Linked DNA regions of Coturnix japonica. The protein of the gene in region 1 purifies or fractionates together with the protein of each later gene. This does not show direct contact. Links are inferred from orthologs where the notes say so. Each region holds a gene or a part of one and is shown on either strand. Other genes may lie near its edges.

The links.
Region 2: the proteins of EPB41L3 (region 1) and PNN purify together in Homo sapiens (co-immunoprecipitation; 3 studies listed by BioGRID and IntAct, with this or other methods). This does not show direct contact. The link is inferred for Coturnix japonica from reciprocal best matches to the Homo sapiens genes EPB41L3 and PNN.

Annotation. Positions count from the first base shown.
Region 1 is NC_029517.1:90,254,056-90,257,801, reverse strand, and holds the start of EPB41L3 (band 4.1-like protein 3), read right to left. Parts: upstream 2,708-3,746; 5' UTR 2,594-2,707; intron 1-2,593. UniProt on the Homo sapiens protein: Tumor suppressor that inhibits cell proliferation and promotes apoptosis. Modulates the activity of protein arginine N-methyltransferases, including PRMT3 and PRMT5.
Region 2 is NC_029520.1:34,113,637-34,117,382, forward strand, and holds the start of PNN (pinin), read left to right. Parts: upstream 1-1,339; 5' UTR 1,340-1,440; coding exon 1,441-1,553; intron 1,554-1,699; coding exon 1,700-1,771; intron 1,772-2,514; coding exon 2,515-2,583; intron 2,584-3,685; exon of another isoform or gene 3,686-3,746. Other genes in the region: TRAPPC6B (trafficking protein particle complex subunit 6B), read right to left, coding at 163-230, 317-397. UniProt on the Homo sapiens protein: Transcriptional activator binding to the E-box 1 core sequence of the E-cadherin promoter gene; the core-binding sequence is 5'CAGGTG-3'. Capable of reversing CTBP1-mediated transcription repression.

The DNA.
Region 1 (3,746 bases):
AGATGCTGCCTTCCTCTGCACATTACATCCTCCCACAGAAGTTATGACCAGCCTTGCTGCCGTTCCTCTCCATGACCTTGTTACTTGACTTGTCTTCCAAGCATAAAGACCATGCTAAATTCAGATGCTTTTTAATGGATCACAGGATAATTCAGGCCAGGAGGGACCTCAGGAAGTCTCCAGTCCACCCTCTGGCTCCAAGCTGGATCATCTGAGATCAGATTGGGTTGCTCAGGGATTTGTCTAGCTGGACCATAAAAATCTCCAATAATGGAAACTGCACAGCCACCCTGGGCAGCCTGTGCTGCTGCCTGGCTGTTCTCATGTTGAAAACGTATCTCCTTTCAACCTTTTTGAACTTCTCTCATTTCCACTTTTGCCCTCTGTCTCTTATCCTTCTACTACAAACACTTAGGAGGAGGCAGGATTGCATCATAGAATCATAAAGGTTGGAAAAGACCACTAAGATCATCAAGTCTGATCACCAACCCATTACCATCACTCCCAGTCAGTTCTACTCTTTCAGCCCTTGTAGCTTTGATATTTACCTGCTTATGCAAGCTATACTTTTGTCTTTGATTTAGATTAACAGACTTCAACTTTGCCAAAAATCTAAATACGACATAGAACTAGAGTGAAAAATTAAACTAAGCACAGAATCTGTGGTGGAAATGCTCATCCATGTAATCACACCAGTCTTCCTCTGATATGCACTGGTAATGGCAACGTTCAATTACAGCCCTTCCAAACACCAAAACAGCATCTCTTCACATGGGTGCAGCACAAGAGTCAGGTGTACACATACACTACAAAACAGCTTGAAAGGCAAGCGAGATGCACACTGAAGCAAAACTACAAGGAATGCACTCCAGTAGTTTTCAGACTTAAAGAGCTTTCTGTAGTACATACAGTCAAGATAAATATGCATTATTTACATTCCTGTGTACAAGAGCTATTACTGTCTCAGGCTGATCAAGGCTTCTTAGCACATCAAAGAGTGGCAATCTGAAGCAGCATGCTCACAGATCTCACTGCTGCAGCCACAGAATTACCTTGTACCAGTTAAGCAGAAGGCTTCCTAACCGCACTCCTAGCTACACTGCTGAGGAGTCAAAGATGCCTAAAAGCAACCAAGGAACGAGAGAATTGCAGCAGTGCAACATATGTTCATCCTGTCTGAAAGGTCACACAAAACATGATTAGCGCCATTATCCTCCGGGACTCTGAATATGAATATTGCCTTGAGACCAGGGCTTTCCAGCATGAGCTACAGATCAATAAGAAGGATTATACAGCAATACTCTGGAAATGCTCACAAGTAGAATATCAGTTTTTATCTCAGATTTCTCCAAAGCTGTACCTGAGAAGACAGTCTTATGCTCTAGTTCCATCTTCCAATCTCAGGCTCTTTGCACCCGTACAACACACTGGTGTGGCAGAGCACATACACTCAGAGGACTCAAAAAGAAAACCAAGAGCGTGCAGAAGCTCAACTCAGCTGCAACCTGATGGCGAGCAGCCCACACCCTGCCCCATGCTCACTCCCGCACCTCACTCAGAACAGGGCCACCACAATACAAGACCATACACGGCTTCTCAGCTTCCTCACTCAGACTTAAGCCTGTGTTTAAATAAAGCCATCCCCACACAGGTGAAAGGTGAGGCAAGTTGTTTTCCTTGATTGAATCCTTTAGTAGTAACAAGTCACTCCTACAACCTGTAAGTAGCTCAGAGATAAACCCCAAGGCTTCTAAGCTGCCAACCACCCCCAGCCAGCTCTCGAAGGCAGCTTTCCTCTCATGGACAGTGCTGGCTGAACTCAGACATTTCCAGCTGCCTTTCTGGTGGAGATCTTAGAGCTGATGCATTTGCAGCAAATGTTTTCCCTGCAGCTGCCTAGTCATCTTCAACTGAAAGACCCAAACACCAGAATCTCATCCTCAGGGAGCAACAGTGGTTCCCCACATGATCTGCATTCAAGTAAAGAACGTGATCCTGACAGAGCTCTTTTTCACATATCTGAGTGGAGACTACTTGGGATGGAAATCTTATTCCATAGGAAATTCTGATCCAATATTTAATGCAGATGAATCCTCAGCACACCACCTATAAAAGTTTACACTGCAGGCAACACCAGAGTAAGGACAGTACAATGGACTGCACAGTATTTTTCTGAAAAGCCAGCCAATGAATTCATACTTTTCTATCTGAATTATTTACAGAAACAATTGAATAAGCCAGGAAAGAAGAATTAAAATGTTCTAAGCCACTGCTTCACAAAGTCATTTTATGGTTATCATATGAAGTGACACTATTTCAAATTAATTTGCTGCACGTTAATTCCTTCACCTTTGCCAACAATAAAACAAAATTAGAAATATATATATATATATATATATATATAAATCCACCAAAGAACATGTTGCAATTCAGTAAGCTTTGCCTGTTGCTTCCACACAACCAACATCCCCAAAACAGATCAAGCTTTCATCAAGCCTAGCTGGCAATAAATAGCATTGTTCTTCCTTCCCTCAAGCAAACACTCTTTTTTTCTCTCCAGAAAATTCAAGTTAAACTTATTTTGCAGACTCACCAAAGTTGTCCACATCCCAGGAGGCAGTACCGTGTCAGTCATCGAGTCCATGGTTGTCGCATGGCCGTAGCAATCAGCAGGAAAATGAAAGGGAAAAAGAAGAAAAAAGAGAACACTTGGGATTAAATGAAAAACACTACACTACAGCTTTATGTAAAGGTTGCATGGGATTAAATGGACTGAACACCCCCCAGATTGCAATATATTCTAAGAAGGAAGAAAACAGGCACCGTAGAAATAGCGCAATGATAAAACAACAATTACAGTTTATCAATTATCTCTCAAGGCTGGCATCACTTTGAGATTAAAACAACTCTTCTACTGCACATTTTTTCTCCCTCATCAGACAGCAATAAGCAGACAACATCAGATATGAGATAAGGTATGCTATAATCTGATGCTGCAGATAATTTTAAATCCTTGACAATTAGATGTAAGATTTATTGGCAGGAAGAACAGTCAGAAGTGACCCACACCACAGTGACTGACAATATCCTCAGGGAAGAGGGGACTGATAATTTATTCCCTACAATTAAGTGACTTGAAACCTATTCTACAGCTGTGTATCTTTGCTCAGCTATATATCTGTAAACCATCAAGAACACCCAAGCTGAAATGACCACAATCAGCATCAGCTCTTTCCTACTAACAAAAATCCAAAGAACAAATGTTACAGTTTTCCCAGGCTCAGAATTGATTTCCTTTGGTAACAGCTCCAAAACATTCAACCAGGTTAGTTTACTGTTATTATTACTACTGCTATTATCTCAGAGAGGGACTGCTTTGAAGACAACTTTATAAAATCCCTACTGCTGTAGGTTTACCTAAGCGAATTGCCCATACATGTGTAAGAGAACCAAAATGTGTGTTCTTCTTTGGAATGGAGAAATTGATTGCGTCTGCAAGTTCAGGAGGAGCAAAAGGTCCCAGGGCAGTTGATAGCGAAGGCACTGAAGCCTGCAGCACAGAGGAGGACACTGGGAAGAAAATCCCTGCAACTTTATCAGCATCAGGTTTTGGCTGTCATGCAGATAGTACCAAGGCTGACAAAATGCCAAGGAATGCAACAGTCTTCACAAATCTCTCACAACAGATTGGGAAATCTTCCCATCTGAAAGGCTTGGGCCATCCACACTCTTCAAGCAATCCATCC
Region 2 (3,746 bases), on another chromosome or scaffold:
ACTTTAATGACTCTGTGATCCTATGAAAACATGACATCGGGAGCTCAGGATTCTCCTCACAGCCTGAGACTGAGCAGCGAGGCACCAGGACGCAGAGGGCCCACGGGTCAGAGGGGCCCTCAGGACAGGGAAATCGTGCCAATTACAGAACTACACACCCACCTCTCGATCAGTCCCTGCCCGACGCGGAATCCCATGCTCTCCAGTTTGGTGGTGCAGCGGCCGTTCTCCTGCAAGACACAAGGGCGGCCGCCGCCTCAGCCTCGGGGCCGGCCGCCGCCTGACGGCCTCTGGGGCGGGCAGCGGCCCCACTCACCCCTTCGCCTTGCTCGGCGGCGCGGTACAGCCCCGCCACCATCTCGTTGTGCAGCAGCAGGAACAGCGCCTCGTCCGCCATGGCCGCTCCCCTACGGGCGGCCCCCGCCCGCCGTCACGGCAACGGCCCGCAGCCAACGGGAGCCGCTGCGCTGCGCTGCACCGCCCCTTCCGGGAGCGGGAGGGCTCGGGGCCGGGACTGGGAGAGGCGGAGTGATTCTGGGGCGGGTATGAGAGCGGGGAGAGCGCTGATGTGCGGTGTGTTTGTTTTACATCGCCTTCAAAGCGGCACTTTATGTTCAACCCCCATTTTCTGCCTCTGTAAGATGGCAACCGGTGTGTGCCCCGGTGGCGCAGTGGTTAAAGACGCCGCCTTGCAACACTGGGGCCCGGGGTTCGAATCCCCCCTGTGGCGCAAGTGATAGAAGTGCCGCTCTGCTACACAGAGGCTCGAATCCCGGGGGTTGGACTCGATGATCTCTAAGGTCCCTTCCAACCCGCACGAGACTGTGAGACTATGAGAAACCGGCGGGGTGCAGCCTGAGCGGCCGCAGCCAAAACGGCACCGTGTGCAGTGAGAACGGCGGGCAGCGGAGGGCGAACACAGCACAGTACAGTACAGTACAGTACAGCGCAGCGCAGCGCCCCGCGTGCTGCCCCGTTACACGGGATCACGTTACGCCGCGCGGGAGCGTACAACGCGGCTGCCCGCTGTAACGCCCCTCCTGATTGGTCCGTCAGGCACAGAGGCTGTGGTAGCTCGAAGGTGATTGGCTCCCACCGCAGCAAAGCGACGAAGTAACTTCTCGTTAGCCACGAGAGACGTCGCTCTGGCCCTCCCGCTTTGTGATTCGCAGAGCTGGCAGGCAGCGGCTCTCGGTGATTGGCTAAGAAAGATGTCAGTCTGTCTCTGAGCTTTGTGATTGGTGGCCGAGTGCAGAGATTCTTCCCACGGGGGCGTACCCTCTCTCTTGCAGCTCGCCTATTGGCTGTCGGCGTTACCCGCCGCGGGGCTATTGGCTGCGCCGTCCGTTCCCTCGCGGAGCCGAGTGTTGGCTGCCGGGCGGGGCCTGTCCCGCCGTTACCCAGCGGTGCCTCGCGCCGTGCCCGGCTAGGCCGCGCGGGATGGCGGTGGCGGTGCGTGCGCTGCAGGAGCAGCTGGAGAAGGCCAAGGAGAGCCTGAAACACGTGGATGAGAATATCCGCAAGCTCACGGGCCGGGACCCCAACGATGTGAGGTGAGGGCCGGCTTACCGGGCTCCACTCGAGGAGGCCGCCCCCGCACCCCCGGCGCCACCCCGGGCCGTCGGGTTGCGGCCCCGCGGGGGGTGGGAGGGCGGCGATGGGCCGGGCGGTGCCGCTGAGCGATGTGCTGTGTTCACAGGCCCCCGCAGAACAGACTGCTGGCCCTCTCAGGCCCTGGTGGAGGTAGGGGGCGAGGGAGCTTACTGCTGAGGTAAGGACATGCGGCTCTGCTGCTTTATCGCGACTCCGGGTTGTTATCTTTGCGCGTTCTGTGTGCCGGCTTTGATCCGTGTGTTCACCGTAAGGGATCGGGAGCTGGAACAACGCAGTCAAGTGGGAGGCCTGCGGGAGCGCCCGGGGGTCCATAGCGGTGCCTGCAGTGCCCGGTTTGATCTTGGTGCCTTTTGGTGCGATTCCAGCTGTTAGCCTTAAAGTTAAGGAGGACCTCCAGAATGAAGGGAGGTGCGCTCTGGTGTCCTGGGCCTCCTTCCTTTGAAGTGGTGCAAAATCACTGTCTTGGTAATTAAGAAACTGGTGGTGTTTCAAAGGAGAGTAGAAAGAATGGAAGTCACCGGGATTCATAAAACTCACATAGGGGGATTTCCTTTGTGAATTTACCTTTTCTGCCCTCTTTTATTTCTCAGCTCCATGGTAGAGCCAGAATCAAGAACAGACTCATGTTCAGTAGTTTCTTCTTACCTGAGTACATGGGACGTTTCTTTAATTCTTTTAAATTTCAATATCAAATTGTTGCTGAGGCCTTAACACTTAAGAAAATGAAACTTCTTGAACCTACTGAGGTAGCTTGAGTGCAGCAGCTCCTCTGAATAACTTTAAATGGGTTGATTCACAAACAGTGCATTTAAATACATTATTACTGCAGTAACGTTGAATGAGTATAGAATTGAGTAAAAAGTGTGCCTTGTTCAGAGATCACGAGTGGTTTCCTTTCAGGCGTGGATTCTCGGATAGCGGAGGAGGACCCCCAGCCAAACAGAGGGATATTGAAGGGGCATCCAGCAGGTGGGTGGAAAGATGGATGTGGAGACCCTGCTTTTACTGTGATTCTTGCACAGTGGAGATACTTAAATGTATAATTCTTTCTTTCTTTCAAGGGCTTATGTTGCCTGTGGAATCATGGGGGAGAGAACCATATGGGGAATTAAATAATTCTGTATATTTATGAAGGGCAGAAAACTCAAAGGTGTTGAAATCTGTAGCAAGTGCTGTAGTGAAGAGCACTTTTCATCCTTTAGGGAGGGAATTTCTTGTTCCTCATCCATTCTGCACGAAGCTCCTCCTTTAACTTTGTGGGCGTATTTGATGCAGGCTGTAGTGTATTCTTCAATTTTCTGAATATAGTTACAGCGTTAGATGCCAAATTCTAAAAGCCTGATTAAAAAACTTATGCTAAGCAAAGCAGAAAACTTATGCAGAATTTAATACAGCAGACTGCAATATTAGCCCAGACTTGTTTAACAGTAGACACAAATCGTGACTGGGATTTCCCTTTCATTAATCTTAATACCTCCTGTGTGACAGTTTGTGCAGAAATTGGAGGCTTTCCCAACTGGATGCAGATCCATCAGATGTGGCTTTGGCCATAGGGAGCTGCATTTTTCTGAGTACTTAACATGCAGTGGTAAATCTTGACAAAAGCAATACTTGCTTTTGAATTTTTGATTTATACAAAATATATATTGTGAAATGCTTTACTGGCAGCAAACTGCTATGCCCCAGAGCAAAAGCTGAGAATAAGTTTAATACATTACTGAGCTGTTATGTGTTAAAAACCTCAGGTTATCCAAGGGCTCAGGTCCCTGCTAATTGCTTTGTCTGTCCTTAACTGATTTTCAGGTATTTGCCTAGGTAACCTCAATAGCTTCTTGAATTTGAGAAAATCTTAATCTCCATATCTTAGAGTTAGGGTACTATGAATAGGCTGAGGCTGGACTTGATGATCTTTGAGGTCTTTTCCAACCTGAGTAATTCTATGATGCCTTGATGCTTCTAAATCAAACTCATATTTCTCTTACCCAAATAAACGTTTTAGATACTCTGGAAAAAGAAAAGCTCAAATGAAACAAAATCCAAAGCTGTGCTAAAAAGTCAAATAGTGCAGTAATGTGGGTTCATCATTTTTACTTTAATACCAAAGTTATATTAAAACTTAAATCACTTTTCTC